7 linked regions of the Cricetulus griseus genome follow. The main gene of each other region encodes a partner of the protein of the gene in region 5 in a complex. Links are inferred from orthologs where the notes say so. Each region holds a gene or a part of one and is shown on either strand. Other genes may lie near its edges.

What was found.
Region 1: Sf3a1 (region 5) and Sf3b5 share a complex: the UniProt entries of both Homo sapiens proteins name them as parts of the 17S U2 SnRNP complex. The link is inferred for Cricetulus griseus from reciprocal best matches to the Homo sapiens genes SF3A1 and SF3B5.
Region 2: Sf3a1 (region 5) and Sf3b4 share a complex: the UniProt entries of both Homo sapiens proteins name them as parts of the 17S U2 SnRNP complex. The link is inferred for Cricetulus griseus from reciprocal best matches to the Homo sapiens genes SF3A1 and SF3B4.
Region 3: Sf3a1 (region 5) and Sf3a2 share a complex: the UniProt entries of both Homo sapiens proteins name them as parts of the SF3A subcomplex of the 17S U2 SnRNP complex. The link is inferred for Cricetulus griseus from reciprocal best matches to the Homo sapiens genes SF3A1 and SF3A2.
Region 4: Sf3a1 (region 5) and Htatsf1 share a complex: the UniProt entries of both Homo sapiens proteins name them as parts of the 17S U2 SnRNP complex. The link is inferred for Cricetulus griseus from reciprocal best matches to the Homo sapiens genes SF3A1 and HTATSF1.
Region 6: Sf3a1 (region 5) and Sf3b2 share a complex: the UniProt entries of both Homo sapiens proteins name them as parts of the 17S U2 SnRNP complex. The link is inferred for Cricetulus griseus from reciprocal best matches to the Homo sapiens genes SF3A1 and SF3B2.
Region 7: the proteins of Sf3a1 (region 5) and Sf3a3 are in contact, whole or in part, in an NMR structure (PDB 2DT7), measured with the Homo sapiens proteins. The link is inferred for Cricetulus griseus from reciprocal best matches to the Homo sapiens genes SF3A1 and SF3A3. Residues at the interface, in NP_005868.1 of Homo sapiens: Ala161, Phe162, Asp165, Val166, Leu169, Thr170, Phe173, Asn177, Phe181, Gln184, Leu185, Lys188, Phe195; in NP_006793.1 of Homo sapiens: Glu80, Phe81, Glu83, Phe84, Tyr85, Arg87, Leu88, Ile91, Lys92, His95.

Annotation. Positions count from the first base shown.
Region 1 is NC_048595.1:275,868,412-275,871,057, forward strand, and holds Sf3b5 (splicing factor 3B subunit 5), read right to left. Parts: upstream 1,195-2,646; 5' UTR 1,046-1,194; coding exon 785-1,045; 3' UTR 501-784; downstream 1-500. UniProt on the Homo sapiens protein: Component of the 17S U2 SnRNP complex of the spliceosome, a large ribonucleoprotein complex that removes introns from transcribed pre-mRNAs.
Region 2 is NW_023276806.1:60,350,896-60,354,923, forward strand, and holds the start of Sf3b4 (splicing factor 3B subunit 4), read right to left. Parts: upstream 2,801-4,028; 5' UTR 2,677-2,800; coding exon 2,643-2,676; intron 2,258-2,642; coding exon 2,129-2,257; intron 1,882-2,128; coding exon 1,339-1,881; intron 1,092-1,338; coding exon 885-1,091; intron 1-884. UniProt on the Homo sapiens protein: Component of the 17S U2 SnRNP complex of the spliceosome, a large ribonucleoprotein complex that removes introns from transcribed pre-mRNAs.
Region 3 is NC_048598.1:101,584,551-101,588,132, reverse strand, and holds the end of Sf3a2 (splicing factor 3A subunit 2), read right to left. Parts: intron 2,825-3,582; coding exon 2,778-2,824; intron 2,565-2,777; coding exon 2,455-2,564; intron 1,963-2,454; coding exon 1,913-1,962; intron 1,840-1,912; coding exon 1,699-1,839; intron 1,608-1,698; coding exon 1,539-1,607; intron 1,456-1,538; coding exon 613-1,455; 3' UTR 501-612; downstream 1-500. Other genes in the region: Amh (muellerian-inhibiting factor), read right to left, coding at 1-171. UniProt on the Homo sapiens protein: Component of the 17S U2 SnRNP complex of the spliceosome, a large ribonucleoprotein complex that removes introns from transcribed pre-mRNAs.
Region 4 is NC_048604.1:15,372,653-15,376,048, forward strand, and holds the end of Htatsf1 (HIV Tat-specific factor 1), read right to left. Parts: intron 2,780-3,396; coding exon 2,642-2,779; intron 2,127-2,641; coding exon 825-2,126; 3' UTR 501-824; downstream 1-500. UniProt on the Homo sapiens protein: Component of the 17S U2 SnRNP complex of the spliceosome, a large ribonucleoprotein complex that removes introns from transcribed pre-mRNAs.
Region 5 is NW_023276807.1:100,730,556-100,734,690, forward strand, and holds the start of Sf3a1 (splicing factor 3A subunit 1), read right to left. Parts: upstream 2,801-4,135; coding exon 2,738-2,800; exon of another isoform or gene 2,704-2,737; intron 1-2,703. Other genes in the region: Ccdc157 (coiled-coil domain-containing protein 157), read left to right, coding at 2,890-3,135. UniProt on the Homo sapiens protein: Component of the 17S U2 SnRNP complex of the spliceosome, a large ribonucleoprotein complex that removes introns from transcribed pre-mRNAs.
Region 6 is NC_048596.1:54,027,587-54,031,086, reverse strand, and holds part of Sf3b2 (splicing factor 3B subunit 2), read right to left. Parts: intron 3,121-3,500; coding exon 3,029-3,120; intron 2,738-3,028; coding exon 2,522-2,737; intron 2,209-2,521; coding exon 2,071-2,208; intron 1,913-2,070; coding exon 1,832-1,912; intron 1,646-1,831; coding exon 1,418-1,645; intron 1-1,417. UniProt on the Homo sapiens protein: Component of the 17S U2 SnRNP complex of the spliceosome, a large ribonucleoprotein complex that removes introns from transcribed pre-mRNAs.
Region 7 is NC_048595.1:28,350,622-28,354,788, reverse strand, and holds the start of Sf3a3 (splicing factor 3A subunit 3), read left to right. Parts: upstream 1-1,367; 5' UTR 1,368-1,454; coding exon 1,455-1,550; intron 1,551-1,796; coding exon 1,797-1,844; intron 1,845-2,171; coding exon 2,172-2,224; intron 2,225-2,332; coding exon 2,333-2,438; intron 2,439-3,263; coding exon 3,264-3,336; intron 3,337-4,167. UniProt on the Homo sapiens protein: Component of the 17S U2 SnRNP complex of the spliceosome, a large ribonucleoprotein complex that removes introns from transcribed pre-mRNAs.

The sequences.
Region 1 (2,646 bases), on a different chromosome or scaffold from region 5:
AGAAATCCTTCAGCCTCTGCCTCCTGGGTGCTGGGATTAGAGGTGTGTGCCACTCCCAGCGACTCATTGCTTTTTTGGTGTTCCTTCAGTAACTTAAAACACACCAACGAATGCCCTATTAGATGGTAAGCAACTTCCCATGCTCTGCACGGTTTTTCTCTGGATTCCGTAAAATCTTTTCTCAAATGTCATCATCGCAATATCTTAGCATTACAAGCATAGTATTTAAAATTGCGAATTCTTCAAGCTTCCTCAATCTCCCTGCATCATCTAGCCCTGGTCTATTTTAGCCTTTCTCCAAATTGGCATAATGTATGCCCCCAAACCTTTGGAAAACGCTCTGGTGAACACTGAATGAAAAAAAAAAATCCGTTCTTCATTTCTGAAGACACACAGACTAACTCTCAAGAAAAACAGATGCAACGTGCAACATCTTGAGACCTTGGTCCACAGCACCCTCCCCAGACCCCACCCAAGGAACACAGCAATCCACACCAAAAGATAGGACAAATCCTAAACTTTATAAACATGGCAAGAAGGACAACCAACTACTGAAAGGCAGACTCATTAGAAACGCGTCATCACTCCCGTGGCGTCTTCTCCCTCGCTTGCCGGGTCTAGGGTCGCTCCTCCCGCACAGTTCCCGGGGGTCCCGACAGTCTCTCGGTGACTTGTTCGGAATCGTCCACAGGTAAGCAGGCCAGGCGTGACAGACGATGAAGAAGCCCGAGCAAGGAGGACCGGCCCACCGCTGGCCGGCGGGGGAGCCTGGGAAGCGCTCGCCTCAGTTCTCCTCGGGCTTGTCCGCCGGCGGCCCGCTGGGCTGCAGCATCTTCTCCATCAGGTTGAAGCGCACGCGGGCCTTGCTCTCGTTCTCGGCGATGGCGAAGTAGTTGAGGAGGTCGAAGTGACCCATGTAGGAGCAGTAGGAGTCCCGGTGCTGGTTCACAAGCCATTCCCACTTGGTGGTGTCGGCGTGGCCCGTACCGATGTACTTGGACTGCAGATGCTCCAGCTGGCTGTGGATGGTGTACCGGTCCGTCATCTCGCCGCTCCGCTCTAGGCTTCCAGATCAGGCCGCAGACCCGACGCTACCCGCTCCGCGTTCAAACCTGAGAGACGCCGCCGCCGCCGCTGCCGGCCCGACACGGAACTTCTATCTGTGTAGGCGCGGGAGAAAGACGCCACTGTGGCGCCTGCGCAGACGCTCTTCTCCCAGGCGGAAGCGGAAGTGAATCCTGCCGCGGCATTGGAGTTGCCTAAGAAACATTGGGCCGTCCCCTCAGCGAGCCCGCCTACTTGGAGAGCGTTGCATGATGGTCTGCTGAGTGGCTCTTGGGTGATCACGTTCTAACTCCGGCGTTGCATTCTGGGATTTGTAGTCCAAAGAATTTGGCGTGTTTTTTTCTTTTGGTTTGGTTTTTTGTTTTCTTTTTCTTTCTCTCTCTCTCTCTCTTTCTTTCTTTCTTTCTTTCTTTCTTTCTTTCTTTCTTTCTTTCTTTCTTTCTTTCTTTCTTTCTTTCTTTCTTTCTTTCTTTCTTTCTTTCTTTCTTTCTCCTCCCTCCCTCCCTCCTTTCCTTCCTTCCTTCCTTCCTTTTTTTTCTTCTTTTTTTTTTTTGCCTGACTAATGTAGGATGGTGTCCAACGATTACGACTACAAGTGACCAGGAAAACTATCTCTTGTACCTAGAAGCTCACACGGACCGCCCTTGGTCCCAGCTTTGTCCCTTAGGATCTGGGTAGTGGGAAAAGTTCTTTGGGTCCTAAATGCTTGGTGATGAGTGTCAACACCAGGTGTCTTCCACATCAAAATCCAGGCTCCAACTCCTCACACCACCCAGGGGCCCGAGCCCTCCAACCAAACAACCTCCTAACTTTAAGGCTGCTTACAATCATTTTCTGGAAGTCAGTTGTGTCTCAAGACAAGTACTCTCTCCTTCTGTTTTTCTGCCTGGTTACACCTTATGTTCAACTTAGAGGTTATGTATCTCCTCACAAAGGTATAAACTACTTGAGAAAAAGATACTGTACTTCTTTTCTGATATCCTTTGAGGATATTATATAGCTTGATGGAGATCGTATTCTTTAAAAGAAAAATCTGATGAATGGACAAAGAGCAATCTCAGTCAAAGAGACTGATAATAGGGGAGGGCCCAACCTATTACAGTGGGGACACCCCTGGGCTGGTAGTCCTGAATTGAATAAGAAAACAGACTGAGAAAGCCACGAAGAGTAAGCCATTAAGCAGCACCCCTCCATGGCCTCTGCATTGGCTCCTGCCTTCAGGTTCCTGCCCTGCCTACCTTAGATGATGAACTGTGATACGGAAGAGTAAATGAAATAAATCTTTCATCCCTGAGTTGCTTTTAATTATAGTGTTCTGTCACAGCAAGAGAAACTTCAACTAAGACAAGTAGAATCTGCATGAAAATTCTGTTAGTAAGAAATAAATCAAAAATTAGTGCAATTCCAGTGCCATTAAGAATGCCTCAGGCAGTGGTGGCACACACCTTTAATCCCAGCGCTCAGGAGGCCCAGGCAGGTGGATCTCTATGAGATTGAGGTCTGAAGAGGTCTACAAAGTGAGTTCCAGAACAGCCAGAAACCCTGCCTCGAAAAACCAAAAACAAAAATAGATAAATAAAC
Region 2 (4,028 bases), on a different chromosome or scaffold from region 5:
TGAACTTAGCTGCTACAAACAAGGGCTGTAGAAGGAGATGCTGGAAGGAGAAAAGTGAACTGTGGGTTGAGCAGCAGCCTTGTCTAGCCTGTCAAGAACCATGGACTAGAGACAGAAGGAATCAGTACCTGCACATTTAACACTACAAATAAACACTGGAAGAAGAACAAAGCACAAAATCTACACAGACAAAAAAGGGGGCTGACCCAGGTTGCTGAGGTTGATAAGTCACATAGAGGAAACAGTTTAATACATGCATAGCTCGTCATGTGTATAGTAGTGGTTAAGAAGCAGAAACAGGCCAGGCGTTGGTGGTGCACGCCTTTAATCCCAGCACTCGGGAGGCAAAGGCAGGAGGATCTCTGTGAGCTCGAGGCCAGCCTGGTCTACAGAGCCAGTGCCAGGATAGGCTCCAAAACTACACAGAGAAACCCTGTCTCGAAAAACAAAAACAAAAAGCAGAAACGGCTGCCCAGTGGTAGTGCCACCTTTAAACCCAGCACTTGGGAGACAGAGGCAGGCAGATCTCTGAGTTCAGGGCCAGCCTGGTCTACAGAATGAGTTGCAGGACAGTCAGGATCCTACACAGAGAGACCTTATCCCTAAAACAAAACAACAACAAAAAAAAATAAGCAAAAATGTCGCCTAGATCTGGCAACTGAGCTCCTTCCTGGGAATCAGAGGAGAGGCTGAGAGTAAAAACAGTAAGAACAGGCTATTCTGCAGAAAAAGGAAAAACCAGAGACAAGACGGGAGGGAGCTGAAGTACACACAGAAGTATTTTCTGAAGGAAAGGGAGACTCTAGACTATTTCCACCCAAGACAAAGAGCAGTGACAGAATCACTCTCACAAGCTCATCTCCGTTTCCCAGCAGACCACTTACCTGGATGGGGCATCCCACCTGGTGGGAATGGGTGAGGATGTGAGTGTCCGTGACCAGGATGCCCAGCTCCTGGAGTTCCTGCTGCTGGGGGGCCATGTCCTCCAGCCCCAGGTGGCATAGGTGGTGGGGGCATGGCTGGGGGTATCCCAGGAGGGAGGGCTCCAGGTGGCGGCACTGGAGGTGGGAAGGAGCCAGGAGGAGGCATGCCTATACAAGAAACGAGAGTCTATCTTGTGAAGAAAGAAAGACTGTCTTACAGAGCTCTAGCTTCCTTCCAGCACACTAAACTCCAGTCTCCCAAAGAAACCCAACATCTGCATCCCTTCCACCAGCACTCCTCATCCCTTTCTCGCTGCCCGCTGAGTTAACAGCTTACTCCCTCAGGGTTTCTTCTGCCTTCTGACCCTCCCTCCCAAGGGCCTCTCACTGGTGTAGTTTGAACTAAAAGCTTTACCTGGTGGAGGAAGCCCAGAACCCAGGGATGAAACCACAGGATTGGGGGCAGAGGGTGGAGGGGGTGCATCTGCGAACAGCTGGTGAGGACGGTCAGCCTGGGACAGCGGGTTCTGGGCTGCCAGAAGTCGTTCAGCTGCTGAGCCATGGCGCTCGCCTTTAGAGTCCTTCTTGAAGGCGTAAGACACAGTGATGGGTCTGTTACACAGGTACTGCCCATTCATGGCCTCAATTGCTGCATCCGAAGCATCAAAGGAGGCAAAATTAATGAAGGCATAACCCTTAGAGTTGCCTGTGTCAGGGTCCCGCATAATCTTGGGGGTTTGTAAGATGACCCCAAAGGCGCTGAAAGTATCATAAAGCAGCTTCTCATCGATTTCTGGGTCCAGGTTCCCAATGAAAATGTTGGCCCCTACATCCAGGTTTTTGTTGTGAGCTGAAGCCTTGTTCACCCGTATGGGCTTCCCATAGAGTTTGATCATGTTCATAATTTTAATAGCATAGTCAGCATCTTCCTCACTCAAGAATTCAACGAAGCCATAGCCTGGGGAATTGAAGAAAAGACTACTCAGATGAAGAGATTCAAAACGACACACTAACTCACCAGCCTCCAAACAAAGAACAAGTTGGAAGAATCCCAACTTCAAACTAAAGCTAAGAGACTACTCCTGAAACAAACTGCCAACTGAAGCTTAGAGAAAGAAACCATTCCAAAATAGCTGTGACTAGTGTTGAGATGCTTCAGGGGCCGCTAACCCAAAGTAAAGTCATTTCTTGCCGTAAATACTCACCTTGGTGCTGGCCAGTGACTCTATCCTTTGGCATGTGGGTGTTGACCACCGGCCCTGCCTGGAGAAAGAGCTCCCACAGCAGTGGTTCGCTCACTTTCTCGTCTAGACCGCCCACGTACACCGTGGCATCTAAAGCAAGAAAGCAGAAGGTAAGGACGAGGTCACGAGTTAAAAGGAAAACAGAAATTTAAAAAAAAAGTAACTAAAACCCTGAGATCACCCTTTGCCTGCCTAGTATAAAAAAACCCGCTCAAGTCTAATGTGGCGTTCTTGCGGATTGTGTACTTCCCGGTGGAGTTTCAATGATGCGCTTGGTAGCAGCGGGAGTGCCTACGGGAACCGGATCCAGAGGCATCACCCTCACAGGCCTCGGCCTCAACCCGGCCCCCAGGCCCAGCCCCCAGACGCGGGCCTTCCCGGGGAAACCTAGTTTCCCACGCTGGCGCTAACGCTTCTAGCACTCATCTGCCCTCCACCTCCCTGGGCCCACCTTGGGCTCTTCTCCCCCAATTACCCTGATTCCGTTCGGAGATGGGCCCGGCAGCCATGGCGAAGAGGCTCCCGCCGTCTCTAAGCGGCAGCACCGCCCTCTGACCTGTTACGACTTCCACTTCCGGGCCAAGGCTCCCATTGGGCGGGGCGGGCGGCAGGGGAGGAGCCGGAAGTGGCCGCGGCCATCTTAGGCGTCTGACGCGTGTCTGGAAAGACGCTGTGGTGGAGCTCTCACGACGCCCGGCTGGCGCCGAGGCGCTCAGGCCCCTCTTGACGACGCGGCTCTCGCCTGTCAGGCAGTCCCGCTGCTCCCCAGCCCAAATTTAAGCCCTAATCTCAGCCTTGTATGTTCTGTGACGCAGAGAAGCGTGCTGGGGGGAGGGAGGGGCGGGCCGGCTGCCTCGGGACGCAGCCTGTTACCTCAGTGCAGACGGAAGTGTCTGAGCCCCACTATTCGTGGGGTCATCTGAGGCACGGTGCCGCGTGTGTTCACGGTCAGTCTCAGCCTCGGGAGCACTCGGCAGCACCGTGCATCCCTCCCCTCCCACAGAAGAGACACTCAGAGAGCCTTCCTCCCGGGCCAGGACAGCCAGGGCTACACAGAGAAACCCTGTCTCAAAAAAAAAAAAAAAAAAAAAAAAAGGGGTTGGTGCTTCTTTCTCCAAATTTCGTCGGAATAGCCCCTCCTGTTTTGGGTCCTTAACTTCTTTTTTATCTATTTGTTTTGTTTCTCGAGACAGGGTTTCCCTGTGGCTTTGGAGGCTGTCCTGGAACTCGCTCTTGTAGACCAGGCTGGCCTCGAACTGGGTCCTTAATTTCTGTATCAATAATCTGGGTGCTTTTCTCTCAGTGCATACCCTCCCCCAACCACTTTACCGAGATCTTCATTCAACACAAGAAACAATACCAGCAATGTGTAGAAATACTGTGCTTTAATGAAGTCCTTAAATAGAAATACCACTACAAAAATATACAGTGGGAGGACAGGGTGTCTCCCTTATTTCCCTCATTCCCACAGAAGACTAAGAAACTGGATTTCAAAGCAGTGTGAGGGGTTGAGAATGAAGTCTCTGGGGCATCTTGTTGGAACTGATGAAGTGTCTCTGATCTCACAGTTTTGACAGTTTGTCATCTAAACGGCATGGAATTGCCAGAGAAAAAAAGGAAACGTTCTGAAGTGGTTTTGTTTCTTATTCCAGAGAAACAAAAATAGCTGGAGGTTGGTAGCTCCATGTCTGCTACAGAAACTCACTCACGGAGTGAGCTCCTTTATGGGCTGGAATGTGAAAGCTTGAAACACTGAGGTCAGATACAAAGAAACATGAGCAGAACTCCCTCCACATTCCCTCTGCCCTGCCTTCGAGAATGCTAGCAGTCTCAACGGATCTGAGAGAGGATGGTATTTGGA
Region 3 (3,582 bases), on a different chromosome or scaffold from region 5:
CAGGCACAAGGGCTCTGGGGGACTGCTGAGAGGCCAGATCCCATCTTCAAAGAAGATGAGGCCCCTGGTGCTGGTGGCTCTTTTGAGGTCTTCTTTGAGGGTCTTGGCCTGTAACACAGTGCCCATGGTCACCAGCAGCAGCACTAGTGGAGAGAGGGGTGGTCCCTGCATGGTAGAGCAACAAGGGCTGGGAGGCCCTGCTTATATGTTTGGCTGAGCCAGAGTGCTTGGGAGGGACACCCCTATCAACTCCGGAGGTGGAGGTGACCTTGGGGGACAGTGCCTGGTGCCCTGTGTGCACAGCAGGTGGGAGGTGGCTTTCTCAAAGGGTTTTCTGTCCTCACAGCCAGGCCCACAACTGCAGAGGCTAGAACTGTCCTTGGGTAGTTCCCATCTGCCTAGGGAGTCCACCTGGAGGACTCACAGGTCATCATGCCTTCAATGAAGGCACACAGCACCCGCCCATACCCCCCACCACAGACACACACTGCAGACAGGGAGACATGGGGGAGGCTGTTTAATGGGCTCAGGACAGGACAAAACAGAAAACTTTTCCAAGGACTGGCCAGGAAAAGGCCACACACAGGCAGCAAGGGATGCTGGGGCCAGTGTTCAGTTGCCTGGGGGAGGAGGAGGCATGCTCCCAGGGCCATCTGATGGGAGTGGGGGCCTTAGCATGGGGGGCATAGGAGCTGGGTGCACACCAGGATTTGAGGGGTGAACCCCTGGAGGCTGAGGGTGGACCACAGGGGTGGCAGGATGGACCCCAGGAGGAGGCTGGGGATGCACCCCAGGAGCCTGAGGGTGGATACCAGGAGCTGGGGGGTGCACCCCAGGGGCCTGAGGGTGAACTGCAGGAGTAGGTGGATGTACTCCTGGAGCCTGAGGATGAACTCCAGCTGATGGGGGAGGGTGGACCCCTGGAGCTGGTGGGTGCACACCTGGAGCTGGTGGGTGCACACCTGGAGCTGGTGGGTGCACACCTGGGGCTGGTGGGTGCACTCCAGGGGCTGGTGGGTGCACCCCAGGGGCTGGAGGGTGCACCCCAGGGGCTGGTGGGTGCACTCCAGGGGCTGGTGGGTGCACCCCAGGGGCTGGTGGGTGCACCCCAGATGTTTGTGGGTGTACCCCAGGGGCTGAGGGGTGTACCCCAGGGGCTGGAGGATGGACCCCAGATGTGGGTGGATGGACTACTGGGGCTGGTGGATGGACCCCAGGAGCTGGTGGAGGCATCTGGGGAGGTCCAGGGGGCCCAGCGGGAGTAGGCCCTGTGGGGGGCATAGGGGGCAAAGGCAGGCCACCAGGCGGAGGTGGGGGCAAGGCATCCGGCAGTGGAGGGCGAGGAGGCAGGCCATTCATGAGTGGGGGTGGGGGCCGCTTGACGCCTGGGGGTCCAGCTGGGAGACTGGGTGGGGCCGGTGGCTTTTCCATTTTAAAGTGGAACTGAAGAAAAAACTGCAGGGGAGGAGGGTCAGAGGCTGGAGGAGCAGGGGGGGTGGGGGTAGGGGAGTACCCAGGCAAGTCTTGCCACACCTTACCTGCTTGGTCTCTCGGTTCCAGTGGGTCCAGAATTTGCCCTCAGCCTTGTCAATCTCCCGGCTTGGCACCTGGGGGAGGGAAGCAGAGGCTGCACCCTGGGACCAATACAAACAGACAAACCTGAATTTATCTTTCTCCTCCAGTCCTCAGGGTCACTACCTTGAAGGCAATGGTCTCATAGGGCTCAGCAGCCATGAGTAGGTACTGCCAGCGGCGGTCTGGGGGCTCTATCCTCTGCTCATAGGCAGACATGAAGCGGTGGCGTGGCATGATGCCCTCAGCAATCTCAGGATAGTCAATCTGGGGGACGAGCACAAAAACCTTAGCACTACCACCTGGTTGCCTGGCCCACCCCTCACTGGCCTCACCTCACCTGGAACAGCAGGCTCTGCTGGCCCATCTCTGTGTCCCTCTGCTTAGTCACTGCAACACACAGGGGACGGGGCTGTCATGTGTCATGGGTGCTTACCAGAACAGGTTTCCCCTTACCAGGCCTGGCCGCTCTGCTCCTTGGCCACCTAGCTAGGATCCAAGTGAGGGCAACCCACCCAGCACTGTATGTAGGGACAGTGTGGACAGCCCTCTGCAACACTATGTCACAGCTTTCCAGTACCCTGACTGTCAATGGTGACTCTTGGGGCACTTGGCTCCCTGTTGGCCACATGACTGGCATTTTGGATAGGCCAGGTCACTCAAGGCCCCTGCTGAGGGGCTCTGGGAGCACTGACTGCAGACAACCTGCCTCCCTTTCCTCTTCTGGAAGTTTCTAGTGGGGGATGGGTGCTTATCTGCCAACAGTCGGTTGCTGAGGACAGAGGAAGCAGCAGCTGAGTGTCCTAGAGACCAGTGTATCCTGGGTCAGGGATACAACCATTTGTCTCGTGGGCAGGCCGCCACACACCCACACCCACACACCTTTGTAGCCAGGGCGGCCAATCTTCACAAACTTCTTCACCTCCACCTTGACCTTCTCGGGTGCTGGCTGTGCAGGGGCTTCCTTGGCCTCCTTGGCAGCTCGCCGAGCCCTACAAACAGGAAACACAGGTGTCCCTCTACCAGCCGCCAAGGCCAAGAGCCCAGTTGTCAGAACCCCCTGGCCTTGGAACTCACGGACAGGATGAGGGCTCAGCCCTGGAGTATACCAACCAGTCTCCCCGACTGTCCTTGCTCCTTAGCCATAAGCTCTGCAGTGGGCCTTTCCCTCCCTCCCCACCAAGCCACACCAAGTGAGGGCTCACAAGTTAGTCTGATGTTTCTTCCCTTGGGTGTGAGCCAGGTAGCTCCCCTGCAAAGAGAAAAGAGACACATCACTAAAGGTGGGGAGGGCAGGACAGGCAGGGCAACTCTTAACAGCGTCCAGCATGGGAGCCTGCAGGGGATGCACAATGTCTGTGGCTACACTGAGGAGACATGCATGATACTCTCTTTGCCTCCCTGAGAAGTTCTATGGTCAGGACCAGCATACACACCGAAGGTCTATAGTGCTGGGGAGCTCCCAACAAGGGGTGGGAGGCCTAGGCTACAACTCCTGGGCATCCTGCCCAGCTGTGTCAACCTGACTCCATTGTCAACAAAGTCAAATGCATCCCATTTACTGCTGATTGGTCTGGTCATCCAGTGAGAGGGTAGGGAGGTAACTTCCTGGATTAAGAATGAACCCCAGACGGGCATTGGTGGCACACGCCTTTAATCCCAGCACTCGGGGGGGCAGAGGCAGGCGGATCTCTGTGAGTTCGAGACCAGCCTGGTCTACAAGAGCTAGTTCCAGGACAGCCTCCAAAGCCACAGAGAAACCCTGTCTCGAGGAAAAAAAAAAAAAAGAACCCCAGAGAAAAAGAACCAGTTACATCCCTTCCCTGTGGCTGGTAGGCACCCATCACTTGTCTGTGGGGCATTCGCAGATCAAACAGCTGGCTCTTGTCTTGACATCAAGGCCAGTAAAAGAAAAGGGCAAAAGGATTAGCTGGTCTCCAGGCCACCTTCAGTGCAGGGTCAGGCAGGAGGCAGAGCAAGAGGGCCAGGAGGTCCTGGCCTCATAAGAGC
Region 4 (3,396 bases), on a different chromosome or scaffold from region 5:
GGATGATTCATAATTGTATTGGGGCAATCTGACATGGTACAATACTAGGAACTGTGACTCTAAAACAAAACACAAAGTATATTCCTAGGGAGAAAGTTCTTAATCTCCAGAGGAATTCATGGGCCTCTCCAAACTGTATATAAGAAGCTGTGTAATGCTTGTGCGTACATTGTTCTGGAGAGAGAACTCATCTCTTTAGTCATCTTCTAAACCAGCATAGTCAACCTCTGATTACCTTCTATTTTCAATAATTGAAGGTATAGACCACATTGAATTCAGTTTATACATCTTAGTCTTAATAGAAAGAGTAAAAAAGATAACATGTAACTTCCAAGGATTGGGGAAAGGATCTAAAATGTCATTTATCTTGTGACTTTAGGACCATGTTGTACTGCAGAATGGGGAAGGTTATCCCAAATGGTGACACAGGTGGAAACAAGGACTGTGGGAGGAATCAAGTGATATTTGATTCAAAACACATATCAACTCAAGTCCACATCTCAGTTTCTGCATATTATCAATTTATCTTTATTTCTGAATATCACAAACTCCAATTAGGATACTTTAAAAATATTCTTTTGCATGCATTTAACAAATCCAACAAAACGACAGGTATCCAGTTTCCTTGCGTTAAACTATGAAGTTTTAACTGAAGAACCAATAGACACATTTAAATTCATTGTTATAGGTAAGAACAAAAACCTTCGAGACATTAGTCTGATGGCATCCTACCACTATGCACTTGTTGATGTAACACTACTACTGATCCTGAAGCACAGGCAAACAGAGACGCAGGGCTCTCCCTAAAAAGCAAGTGGAAAGGATTACATTTCATCATCATCATCACTACTGAGGGCAAAGCTGCTGTCGGTGGACTGAGACCCATCTTCCTTCACATTCCCCATAGTCCCTCTCTCATCAGAATCATCAAACAATTTCTCACTGGCATCTTCTTCTTCATCAAAAAACTTCTCATTGGAATTATCTTCAAATAGCTTGTCATTGGTATCTTCATCTTGCTTTACATCTCTATCTTCTTCATCTTCCTTTTCATCGGAGTCATCAAAGAGCTTGTCATCTGTGTCATCTTCTTCCTCTTTGTCATCAGCATCTTCACACTCCTTTTCTTCTGCTTCTTCTTCATCCTCATTCTCATCAGACTCATCATCAAAAACCTTTTCATATACAACTTCTTCCTCTTCTCTGTCTTCTTCCTCCTCTTCCTCCTCTTCCTCCTCCTCCTCCTTTTCATCTGAGTCTTCCTCAAATTCTCTCTCAGAGCCTTCCTCACCTAACACTCTTTCAGAGCCTTCATCACCTTCTGATTTGTCAGTGTCATTTTCTTCTGACTCTTTCTCAACATTTTCAGGGAACTCCTTGTCAGAGGTATCCTGGTCGAAATCTTTTTTAACACCATTTTCTTCTAATTCCTTGTCAGAGTCATCTTCATACAGCTTTTCTGGGCAGTCTTCCTTGGATTCTTCCTCTGAGTCATCATCTTCAGACTCTTTCTTGAGGCTCTCTTCCCCTTCTGACTCTCTGCTGAGCTCATTGTCTTCAGACTCTTTTGCCAGGCCATTCTTTTCATAATTATCTTTGCCTTTCTTCTTAGATTCTCTGTCAGGGCCATTCTCTTGAGATCCCATTTTAGGATTCCCCTCTTCAAGCTTGCTCTCAGGGTGGCCCTCTTCACTCTCTCTCTTGGGGTAGCCCTCTTCACTCTCTCTCTTGGGGTGGCCCTCTTGATACTCTGTCTTGGGGCAGCCCTCTTCACACTCTATCTTGGAGGAGCCCTCTTCACCCTCTCTTTCAGGGTAACCTTCCTCGTACCCACCTTCTTTAGCATCTTTTTCAGAAGCATCTCCTTCAGATTCTCCCCCATCTTCTGCTTTTTCAAACTTCTTTTCATCGATAGGCTCTTCAAGTGCTATTCCAGTTGTAGCTTCCTGAGCACCTGTGGTAGACATGCTCAGGTGCTCTGAAAAATGCCTTCCTCTGGAAGGCCCTGCCTGTTCTGAAGCAGAGACAGAATCCATCCGCTGGAGGCCTCTGTTGGCCTCAGGGGCATTGAGGAAGGACTCCCAGCCTCTCAGCCTTTCCTCTCTCTCTCTTGAGGTCTCCTCTACCTGTGAATAAACAGAGACTACGGTTAAGATGAATGTTAGGCAAAAAGAAGCAACAACTTCTCTGGGAAGTTCTACTATTGACACAAGTACCCTCGTTCTATAAAGCAACTTTTCTAAAGCAATCCATGCATGTCCTTACTCTGGTCTTCAAAACTATATACCTGTTTACACAACCTTACACACAATATACCTGCAATAAAATCATATAAATATATGTGACTATCCCAGTACTGTTGAAATGTTCCACTTCCTAAAACATTACTATTGGAGCTCTGTACATTCTCTTTAACAAGAAAGATGAGGAATAGTTAGCACTCTTCTATTCTTATCATTCTGAGGTTAAAACCTCCAAATTAAAGACTTACAAGCTGAGAAGTGATAAGAATTTCTCTATCCTCTAATGCAAAACATTATTTACAAGATGTATTATACAAAACAGATTAAAGCAACCTCCAAACTAGATCTACAGTTGACAAGGCAACAGTTCCTGTGCCCTTGAGAGCTGCAGGATTTACCTGGTAATCTGTAGTCCCATCCCAGGCTTCAGCAGTGATTTGACGGCCACCAAACCACCTTCCATCAAGAGTTTGAATACAATAATCAGCCTCCTCTGGTTCCCTGAAGGACACAGAGGCCACACCATCTGGGTGCCTCTAAAAAGACAAGAAGAAGGAGGACTGAATGACAAGATTAAAAATCAGATACACATTTCATAAGACTGATAAAGAGTAGTATTCTCCTGAAACTCTGAACTAAAAGACTTCTGAAATCTTTCTTCCCTTTTATTCCAGCCAGTGGTCAGCTGCTTCTTTAGCTTCATTTTGTCTAGCAAGAACCAGTACAGTGCCCTTGCAAATGTTTCTGTTAACAATACTACCCAAGAGCTAAGGCCATGTAATTGTTTGAGTGTGAATTTGAGATTAAAGCCTGCCTGTCAGGAACTGAACAAGCACTTCTACAAGTACTTCTACTTCTACTTGAAAAGATGTGGCTTCCTTATCTGTACAGCTAGTAGCTACCTACTTCAAAGGGTTCTGAGGGTTAAGCAGCACAATGTATAAAGCCCCTTGCAGCATACCAGCAATACATTGTAAGAAATGGTCAGTTAAGTACTTTCTATCAGTCTTGGAAGTACAGAGAAAACTAAACAATAGTTGTTTTTTTTTTCCTTGACTATGATCAGGTGAATAACAGAGAAAGGCAAGAACTTTGAGGAAATTGATATTCCATACATTTTTATTCTAGTTGCTCTCACCTGATCACATACTCT
Region 5 (4,135 bases):
TTAAATTCATAAATGGTTTATGGAGCTTCAAAGGAGTTGAATGTTTTATCCCTGGTACTTTATCCACCATCTTCTTCCTCTCAGTTAAGAGCTGAGATCTCATCTTAGAAAAACAAGATTTCTCTCCGCCTGCATGTTCCTTTGGGCTGCTTCCCCTGTTCTTCCTCTGGCAGCTGAACATACTGAGTTCCTATTTCATCTCCTATTTGGTTCATTTACTTCAAGTATCCTTTTTGTTTGTTTGAGACAGTGTTTCTTTGTGTAACACCCCTGACTCTCCTGGAACTCACTCTGTAGACCAGGCTGGCCTCAAACTCACAGAGATCCACCTGCCTCTGCCTCTCAAGTGCTCATTTCAAATATTCTTGGCAAAGTAAAAAATAACTGTCTAAAGTCATCTACAGCTTCAGGAGCCTCTATGTGTTCTGGCTTATGTATTTTACCTCCTACCTACAGCACTGGAAACCTCTAAACCAGAAGTTTTCAACCTGTGGGATGTGACTTTGTGACTCCTGTGGGGATTGAATGACCCTTCTTTCACAGGGGTCACCTAAGACAATCCTACATATCAGATATTTACAATTAATGACAGTAGCAAAATTATAGTTATGAAATAGCAATTAAAATAACTTTATGGTTTGAGGTCATGACAAAGAACTGTATTAAAGGGTCACAGAATTAGGAAGGTCAAGAATCACTGCTCTAAACATGTATGTTTATAATTTCTTCTCAGAATTCACACCATCTTCACCCAGACACCCTTGAAAACTCTATTCTACATTTCCTTTCCCTACTCTAGGCTGAAAAATTCTGCCTAAATCAATCTCCCAACAAGCTTTAGACTAAACAGACTCCAAGGCACTTTCATCTCTAACCTAGAATGGTTTTCCAGTCACATAAGCCAGAAATCCAGGCCTCCTCAGTCTCACCAAACACAAAGTACATGTCAGGCACATGAGCTGTATTAACTCTTAGGATCCTGATGACAACCCTGAATAGGTATTCTTTTTTTTTTTTTTTTTTTTTTAAAGATTTACTTATTTATTATATAGTTTTCTATCTGCAGGTATCCCTGCCTGCCAGAAGAGGGTGCCATATCTCATTACAGATGGTTGTGAGCCACCATGTGGTTGCTGGGAATTGAACTCAGGACCTCTGGAAGAGCACTCAGTGCTCTTAACCTCTGAGCCATCTCTCCAGCCCCCTGAATAGGTATTCTTATTCCCATATTATAGACAACAGGGGAATAACAAACTTGTGCCTTCCCCTACAGGCAGAATCAGGATTCTAGCACATCACTTTGGCCGGAGAACCTATGTCAACAGTCATTCTGTGACAATCACATGCCCATTCCTCTTGCCCCAATCTAGATCAGACCCTCAGTGTCTTTTGAATAGCATAACTGTTTCTCTTTCCTCTCTCTTTAGATCACTGCAAGCCTAAATTTTTGAAACACAAATGTCACTATCCAACTTAAAATATCTCCCAGTCTTCAAGGACATATTCAAATCCTAACTGCATCTCCTACCACCATTATCCCGAACCTGCATTTGAGCCACACTTGTTCATGAACCTCTGACAAAAGAGGGACCACCTGATTCCTACTTTGGTGGTTTTTTAACTATTTTTAACTATATTTATTTGGTATCACCTTGTCTGTTTTCCCCCAGTGTCAAGGAAAATACACATAGGCACACAAATACATAAATGTTTGGAGTAAGAACATGGGCCTCCTCTGTCATGTTTGAGACTGTGTTCTGAACCCAAAGCAACAATAAGCATAGAGTATGTGCCTGATAAATGTATGTTGAATAAATAATTTCCTTTTCCCATCACTCTTCATTCTCCATCTTCATCACTATTCATTCTTCTAAAATAGCCACTCACCTCTCACTCCTGTGGACTTACTTCCCTTACATTTATTAAGTAATGCTGATTAAATTCGTGGTTTACTTGTATTCAACTTAACTGCAATTATTTACCCACATACTTCCTCCTCAGCTATTTGTGAGCTTTGAGGTCTCACCCTGTAGTCCAAACTACTACTCAATTAACGATCTTCCTACCTCAAACTCACAAATGCTGGGATTTCTGATGTGTGTCATATGCCCAGCCTTTAGAGCTTTTAAAGGTTGCCTGACACTTTATCATTACACTGACCAAGACAATAAACATTGAGTATTTGTGCAAATCTGTATTTTCACTAGCCTGGGCTCTCTCTTAAGGCAGGAGCTATGCCACATTCATTCTGTAATGATGAAGGCTGGTACCTTGTCCGGTTTAGGGAAAGCACCTCGGAGGTGTTTAAAAACAACAACAACAAAAAAATAGAGCAGGCTAGGAAATGAGAGATTACTAGACAAAGGATAAGCGACTGGTAGGCTCCACTGCGACGGTGAACAGGCTGGCCCAATGCTTCTCACATTTTAACGAGATAATTTAGGAAATGGCTAAAACACATATTCCTACTTGGGTTTACAGTGGAGGCTTCATGACTCTAATAAGCCCCCAGGTGAAGCTGAGGCTGTAAGTCCACAGGCTACTTTGAGAATTTCGGCTCTGGGGAGTTTGGGGGGGACCAGAAGCAACGCGGCGCGCGGACTCCTGGGACTTGCAGTCCCTCCAAGCCCTTCAGGGCAGCCTGAACTTTCCAGCGGGAGTGCCGTAGCGCCCGCGCGGGAGGGGAGGGACGAGGCCTACACCGGGACTGCAGGCTGAGGAGCTCGGGGCGCGGTACCTGTTTGGGTTCAGTGGCTACTGGCGGCGGCGGAGGCACCGCCTGCACGGGTCCGGCCGGCATGACTGCGACGCTCAGGGCTGCCAGTCCGCCTCAGGGCGACAACCGGTGCAGCGGCAAGGTTGAGCTCCCCACACGAAGGCTACAACGCAATGGGAAGATGGCGGCGACCCAGAGAAAAGCCGCGGAAGCTAGTGAACACACTTCCGGTCACGCCCCCTGGCCGTGGCGCACTTCCCACCCCGCCCCGCGGGCAAGGAGGCGCGCTACTCCGTTGCCATGGCAGCAGCCTGGGCGCGCCGCTAAGGGTTTCGAGGGATCACAGGAGCCACTGGCGCTCCGGGGGAAGTTCTGTGAGCCGGCCCGACACAGAGCTGAGGCTGCGACGCCGGAGACAGGTGAGCCATTCTACATCATCCGCTGAACTCCCCTGGCGACTCTAGTCCGTTCCTCGCTCCCTGCCACCGCACCTTCCTCTCCTCACTCCAGTCTTTCTTCCTCCTTGACCTGTCCTTTTGAAGAATTTTCCTTCCATTAGAAGGAAAATTTAGAAGGTGGGACTTTACCGCAACTAAAGTCCCACCTAACTACACCTTTAGCTCCCTCCCACACACACACCTTTTCTTTTCTGTTCAGCACAACCTCCCCGCCTTACAGAGCCCAAGCCCGCAATTCCCTAGGGTCTCTTCCTACTGGCCTCTTTTCTAAGTTGCACCCTAAACTTCCATAGCTCCTCCCTCAAGCCCGACCTCCTCCAATCATAACTGTTCTCCAAACTCCCACCAGTGCGGCCCTGCAGACCACGCCCCTCGCTTCCCGGAGACAAGCCTCCAATCACCTGCTTTTCTCTCCTGAGACCCTCTAGGTCCCCATTCCCTCTCCTCTCCTGACTCCGGAATACTGAAAGAGGATTCTGAGCTCATCCCGCCTCACTTCACCTGTGAAATGTGGCAGCAACAAAACGCCCAAGGTCCTTCTCCACTGTAGCTGGTTATTTCGTTGTTATCAATGTAGAACAGGGACAATTAGGATCAGTTGGACATGTATTTACTACAAGCCAGATCCTGTGTCAAACCCTACAGGTATTGCATCATTTGCTCCTTACAGCAAGCTATTTACTGGTTAAGACCACGAAGTTAGAATCTATGCTCACGTGGGGTGGGGGTGGGGGATGGGGTGGGGGGTGGGGGGTTCTCTCTGTGAGGGGAAAAAATCTACCATATCCAGGCTAGTTTTCTCCATTAAACTGATGTTTATTACTATGCCTTCACTGTGTTACTTTCAAGTCCCAAGGGGTCCAGACAATAGCTAATTCAGGTCAGAGATTGGCAACTGCCATGTCGATGGTTTTAGAGTTTAAAAAATATTTTCTTAATAGTGACTGAATGTCAATGGACA
Region 6 (3,500 bases), on a different chromosome or scaffold from region 5:
TTCCAAGCACTCGGGAGGCAGAGGCAGGCAGATCTCTGTGAGTTCGAGGCCAGCCTGGTCTCCAGAGCAAGTACCAAGATAGGCTCCAAAGCTACACAGAGAAACCCTGTCTTGAAAAACCAAAAAAAAAAAAAAAAAGTTAATAATCCAAAACTAAAAGAAAGACAGGAGTGTATGACTACAGGCTAAAAGGAAGGCGGTTTCCACTTAAATTTTTTTAATCACAGACAACTAGTACTCAACTTATTTATTTAAAACATTTAAACTTAAAAATTTACAGAAGTATTGTGCTGGACAGGTTTTTTTTTTTTTTTTTTTTTTTTTTTGGTTTTTTGAGACAGGGTTTCTCTGTGGCTTTGGAGGCTGTTCTGGAACTAGCTCTTGTAGACCAGGCTGGTCTCAAACTCACAGAGATCCTGCCTGCCTCTGCCTCCCGAGTGCTGGGATTAAAGGCAAGCACCACCAACGCCCGGTTGTGCTGGACAGTTTTATATCAACTTGACACAAGCTAAAGTCATCTGAGAGGAGGGAACCTCAATTAAGAAAATGCCTCCATATGATCTGGCTGTATAAAAGCCTGTAGGGCAATAGTTCTCAAATTTCATAATGCTATGACCCTTTAATATGGTTCCTCATGTTGCAGTGACCTCCCAACAATAAAATTATTCCCACTGCTATTTCCTAACTATAATTTTGCTACTGTTATGAACTGTAATGTAAATATCTGTGTTTTCTAAAAGTCTTAGGTGACCCTTGTAAAAGGGTAGTTTGACACTCTCATCCCTCACACTCCCAAAAATGGACCAAGACCCACAGGTTGAAAGCTGCTGCTGCAGGGCAATTTCTTAATTAGTGATTGATGGGGGAGGGCCTAGCCTATTGTAGGTGGTTCCATCCCTGGGCTGGCGGTCCTGGGTGTTAGAGAAAGCAAGCCAAGCAAGCCATATAGAGCAGGCCAGTAAGCAGTAACCCTACACGGTTTCTGCATCAGCTCCTGCCTGCAGGTTCCTGACCTCGCTGCTTTTGACTGTTATAATGGAACTGTGGCTGAAATAAACCCTTTCCTCCCCAAGCTGCTTTTGGTCAGTGTTTTATCACAGTAATAGTAGCCCAACTAAGACAAGCATCATTTGTACCTCTAGCTACAAGTGCATCGGAAAACAGCAAGCTGACCAAGTGAATGCAGGAGGGAAGAAGAGAAAGGAAGAAAGCTGCTATTCAGGACCAGGAACCTCAAACTAGCAAGAGTGGTACTCTAAGCACAGACTCAAGGTCTACTTACAGTGCTGACTTCTAATCTAGAAAAAGGTTCATTAGACTAGTAATAAATAGGTGGTAAGTCCAATTCTAAGGCAGGCTGCTACATACAAAGGGTATGGGTAGCTAAACTCAGGTTTGTGCCCCAGCCTGGCTTCACCTTCTCCTGCAGGGCCTCTCGCATCTCCTGAATGCCTGTGCGTTTGATGAAGTCTGGCAGCTCAAAGGGGGGCTTCTCGATACCCCGTTTGCCTTGCAAGTACTTGCGCTTAAAACACCAGTGGCGTGGCACAGGGACGGAGTTCCGGGTGGCCTTGAGGTGAACCAAGAGCTTAGGGTCCTGTGCAGTCACGTCGTGCATCTCTACAACATCAGGCCGAGCCACCAGCTGAAAAGTGCAATAGAAAACCCACCTCTTGATTAAAGTTGTCTTCTCTTTCTAAAAAGACACCTAAACCAAGCATCCATAAAAGCACCTCCTTGTAAGCCCTCTAGAGTAAACTCAGCAGGGCTGGGTGCATCTCACAATTTCCCAGTCAGGCTCCAGGTCCAGCTGGGTCATCTTAGGTCTAACCTGCTTGAGTTCCGCCACAGTAAAGCGATTCATTCGGCGCAACTTCTTCTTGGACAGCTTAGGGGCTTCTGGCTTCTTTTCCTAGAATACAGAAACCTCTTAGGTGGGCCTCGGATGGGAATCAAAACTGCCCAGTCCACTTCAATGCTTAAACCATGAAAGCCCTTAACCATAGTCTCTAAGGGAAACACCTCAACTACCTGTGCCCTGCATCCCTCTCCAACTGAGGGGAGCCTGACCTGTTCATCATCACTGCTGTCATCATCACTGTCCTTGTGCTCCTCCTCAAAGCCCTTCTTCTTAGGGACTGCAGAGTTCTCCATTTTGTCAAGTTTCTCTGGCTCCTTTTCTTTTTCTTTCTTCACATCATCAGTGAGCTGAGGAGACAGACCATTTGGAATCCCATTCTTCTGACACACCTCCATTTCTGACTCCTGTATGCAAACAACTATCCCCCCCCACCAAGTCTTTTTTTTTTTTTTTGAGACAGGGTTTCTCTGTGGCTTTGAAGGCTGTCCTGAAACTAACTCTTATAGACCAGGCTGGTCTTGAACTCACAGAGATCCGCCTCCCGAGTGCTGGGATTAAAGGTGTGTGCCACCAACACCCAGCGCATCCCCCCAAGTCTTATCTCACCCCATCACATGCACATCAAAGTGCGGTTCACTCAGGGCATACCACTCCTCGCACCTTGAAAGCCTCAAAAATCCTCTTGAAGAAGATGAAGTTGGGCTCATAGATTTCAGGTTCTTCAGTCACATATTCAATCTCAACATCAGCAGCAGGGGAGTCAGAGCCTCGAGAACGAGCTGATTCTTTCTCTCGGTCCCCAGAGCTCTCTGAAGATGCTGCCCGCACCCGCTGGGGCTTTTTCTTCTTCTTTCGGTTACGACGCTTGCGATTTTTCTACCAAGACAGGAAAATTACCTCAGTCAGAGAATCTTTACCACATGCCTGCCTTCACTACTTTAGCACTGAGTCTTCACAAAAACATGGAAGATGTCAAAGTTTTGCCTCTCAAAGGTAAGTTGCTGTGCATCCTGGAGCTGCATCATTTTCAGTGTGAATGAATCCACAGCACTTAGAACTTAAAGGGCTTTGTGACAAGCAATGACCCGAAAGCTGCTCAGGACAGAAACTGGCACATGGTCAAGCCCGCTCTCTGTGGAACCCTTCCGGACAAGCTCCATCACCTACCTCTTTTTTAGATATGGACACGGTGTCCTCTTCGGTCTCTGATGCTGACTGTCCCAGAGACGAGCGAGTATCTGTCTCCATTTCTTCTTCCTCTGTTAGAAAAGAATGTGGCAATCAATTCTCCTATAGAAACTTCACTTGAAACAGGGTCTTATATAGTTCAGGCTGGTCTCAAACTTACTATGGAGACAGGGATGACTTTGAACTTCTGACCTATCTCTACCTTCTAAGTACTAGGATCAAGAATTCACTACCGCCAGTGGTGGTGGCACACACCTTTAACCCCAGCACTTGGGAGGCAGAGGCAGAGGATCTCTGTGAGTTCAAGACCAGCCTGGTCTACAAAAGCTAGTTCCAGGACAGCCTCCAAAGCCACAGAGAAACCCTGTCTCGAAAACAAACAAACAAACAACAACAAAAAAAAGAATACACTACCAAACCGTTTTCAAGATCACTAGAGTGTAGCCTCTCT
Region 7 (4,167 bases), on a different chromosome or scaffold from region 5:
CGAGTGCTGGGATTAAAGGCATGTGCCACCAACGCCCGGCTCCCCCAGATGTTTTTAAATAGGAGATTTATTGAGGTTATAATTACCATTCACTTTAAGTGCTACAACTCGATTTCATTTTAGCAAAGTTGATAGAATTGTACAAATATTGCCACCCTCAAAAGGATTCATTCCTTCTGCTCTTTTTAAGTCACTTCTTATCCCAACCAACCCTTCTCTCATCTTCCCTTTGTCTCCATGGATTTGCTGATCCAAACATTTCATGTGAACACTGTTTCTGTTGTTTTTTTTGTTTTGTTTTGTTCCTGGTTTTTCAAGACAGGGTTTCTCTGTGTAGCTCTGGCTGTCCTGGAACTTGCTCTGTAGTCCAGACTGGTCTCCAACTCAGAGATCCACTTGCCTCTGCCTCCCTAGTGGCAGAATTAAGGGCTTTTACCACCACCACCTGGTGTTTGTTTATTGTTTTGAGATGCTCTCTTACTACAAAGGGCAGGCTGAGCTTGAACTTGCTCCCTTCCTGCCTCAGTCTCCCAAATATTAGAATTACAGGTGTGAGCCACTCTACTTGGCTCCAACTCTGTTCTCAGTGCATGCTGGACAAGCTCTTTATACTGATTCAGATCTCAAGTCCTAATCTGTGTGTTTGTTTCCTGAGTCCCAGTCTCTCCATGTAGCCCTGGCTGTTCTGTAACTCACTATGTAGACCAGGCTGGCTTAGAACTCACAGAGATCTGTCTGCCTCTGCCTCTGGAGCGCTGTTAATCTTTTTTGCTTCTTCCTCTTCCTCCTCCTTTAAAGAAAGGCAGCCTAGATCTCATTTTCTAAGCCGTACAGCCAGCACATGGTAGGCAGAGGCAGAAGAATTAAGGATACGGAGAATCAGAGGTAACCCTGTACTGAATAGCAAGCATTTCATTGCTTGAATATACCACATTTTACTTAAAGAGCCCTCTGCTGATAAAGGTTATTTCCACATAGGAGTTAAGAACAAAACCACCTCCTCACTTTACTGACAGATACTAAAGTCCAGACAAGGAGAAAACACCAGCGGTCACACCCTGAAACTAGAGATTCCAGTTCCTCTTTCCCTTCTTGTATCCTTCAACTTCTCAATCCCGGTCCACATCAGTGAGTCTTGCCGGCCCAGCTGGCCACAGAGAGCCCCAGGCAGCAGTTGCCTCTCACCCTCCGCCTACAGCATTTTTGCAGGCATTCAGTCGCTGAGCATCGCTCCTCCACACCTCCAGCCAGCGGGGGGCAGTGGTACCGACAGCAAGGACTTGCTCTCCGTGTGGTGTTCATTTTTTGAGGTCCCCCAAGGCACTTCCGGAACTCACGGAACTTTGGTGCAGCCGGATGCAGCGCGTTGAGAGAGAGACGGAGGCGCACAAGGCGGCAGGCGCTGCTTCCGGCCGTGTTGGTCGTCTGAATTGAAGCGCCGCGGCGAAGGGAAAATGGAAACAATTTTGGAGCAGCAACGGCGCTATCATGAGGAGAAAGAACGGCTCATGGATGTCATGGCCAAAGAGATGCTCACTAAGAAGTCCACGGTGAGTGGACCGTGGTCGGGAACGCATCCGGAGCCCCTGAGCGCTTTCTTCGGCCTTAGACCCTCCCCGCGCCCCATCTTCGCCTTCCTCCTGGGCTGCCTCTGCGCTCTGGCCTCGGTAACATCCTCCGAGGCCCCAGCAGTCCCTCTGCTTCAGCTCCTGAGACCTAAACCAATAAACTCGTCCTTCGGGTGGCCTTTCCAACCCCCGAACTCAAACTAACAGCATCTGTTTGCCTTTCTCCAGCTCCGGGACCAGATCAATTCTGATCACCGCACGCGGGCCATGCAAGATGTGAGTGCCCCGCTGTCCGCTTCCTTTTAGGTTGGGCTGGGCGGGGAAAGTGCTGGCAGGGAAGGTGCGGAGGCTCAGCGTGAGGACTGCTTGTAGGTGCTGAGAATACCCCGTCTCAGGTTCTTAGACGTAAGTCCTGTCTCTGCCTCCACATGCTGGCATTAACGGTGTGTGCCACCACTCCCCACTCAGGCTGTCTAGAGGAACTTTCAAGAGCTCGTATCTCATGAGGTTTCCTTGGGCTTGGCCAAGAAAGCCTTCGTTGTTTATTTAGCCCTGTCGTTGTACAAATTGCTTCATTCTGATGGATTTGTGTTTGCCTTTCAGAGATACATGGAGGTCAGTGGGAACTTGAGGGATTTGTATGATGATAAAGATGGGTAAGTGACAGTCACATACATCCCCTCAGCAGGTAGAGCTTCTGAGGCGGCATGGTGAGAGGATTGGCTTTGTGCTTTATACTCTTCGGGTTTGTCATTATTTTGCAGACTTCGAAAAGAGGAACTCAATGCTATTTCAGGACCCAATGAGTTTGCTGAATTCTATAACAGACTCAAGCAGATAAAGGAATTTCATCGGAAACACCCAAATGAGGTATGGTCTCCTGAAGTATTTCCCCAAACCTACCCTAAAATAAGAAAAGGTGCAAGGAAAATGGGGGTATGCCATTCAGATGTCACTCCAAGAAAGGGCTTGCCACTTAACTGCAGTGAGCATAGTTAGCTGACATCGTTCCTGACATCTCTCAGCCAGTAAAGGAACACAGTGAAGGCACGAGGGCCTACTTTTTTCTTTCTGATGAGAAATGATTAATTTTTGCTCCAGAGTTCTTTATTGGCTTCATTCAGATTTTGTCTGCATCATAGTCTAGACTCCTTATCCAAACTTACTTTCTCCTTTTTATCTTTCATAAGAATTCTCCCCCACCCAATACACTGTGCTCCTAATTCTGCCTTGAAATCTTCTACCAACACAACATCACTCTGCTCACTCCAGAGTTAATGAACACCTTCAGGATTCATGTCCAGCACCAACTCCTTTATCATATATCTTTTCTGCTAGGCGGTGGTGGTGCAAGCCTTTAATCTCAGGGATCAGGAGGCAGAGGCAGGTGGATCTCTGTGAGTTCGAGGCCAGCCTGGTTTGCAGAGTGAGTTCCAGGACAGGCTCCAAAGCTACACAGAGAAAACCTGTCTCCAAAAAAAAAAAAAAAAAAAACTTTCCTAGACTATCTCTTCCAATGCAATCCTTCCTTAAGAGCCCAGATTTTGTGGTAATGACTGCCTTCCAGTTATACTAAGCAAAGCAAGAGGAGAACAGTAGTAAGCTCCTGAACACCACAGGGCAAATCAGGTATCAGAAGTCCAGTTCTATGCATGCATGAGACACTGATCCACCTGCGCTTTCTCCTTCCCCCAGATCTGTGTGCCAATGTCAGTGGAATTTGAGGAGCTCCTGAAGGCTCGAGAAAATCCAAGTGAAGAGGCACAAAGTAAGTATGATTTAATGTTTCTTTCTGAGAAATTTGAAGCCATCCTGGGCTATATAGCTAGAACCTATCTTCTCTCTCTATCTTTTTTTTTTTTTAAGCCTTTATTTTTATTTTGTCTGTATGGGTGTTTTGCCTGCATGATACCTATAGACAGTGTGTGTGCTATGCCTGAGGAGGCCAGGAGAGGAAGTCGTATCCTCTAGGACTGGATTTTGAGTACCATTTGGGGGCTGGGAATCAGACCTGGGTCCAGGTCTAATATATCTGATATCATTTAAATCAAAAAGTTATGGACAGGTGTCTTTGTTTTGTTTTTGTTTTTCTTGTTGTTTTTCTTCCTTAACTATTGAGCCATCTGTCCAGCCCTTTCTTTCTTTGTTTCTTTGTTTTTCAAGACAGGGTTTCTCCTTGTAGCCCTGGCTGTTCTGGAACTTACTCTGTAGACCAGGCTGGCCTAGAACTCAGACATCTTCCTGCCTCTGCCCTCCCCAATGCTGAGACTAAAGGAGTACCCACCACCGACTGACCGACTGGCATTTATGTTTGTCTGGTTTTGTGATTTTTTTTTTTTTTTTTTGGTGGTGGTGGGTAGTGGTGGGTTTTTTTTTGTGTGTGGGGGGGTGTTTGTTGTTGAGACAGGGTCTCTCTACATAGCTATAGCTGTTCTGGAACTCACTATGTAGATCAGGCTGCTCTTGCTCCCATGTGCAGCTGGCCTTGAACTCATGATCCACCTGCCTCAGCCTTCTGAGTGCTAATTTTAAAGCAATGTACGGGGTAATGTGGAGATTAGATCTGTGTACAAAAATTAGCTCAGTTGGTAGAATATTG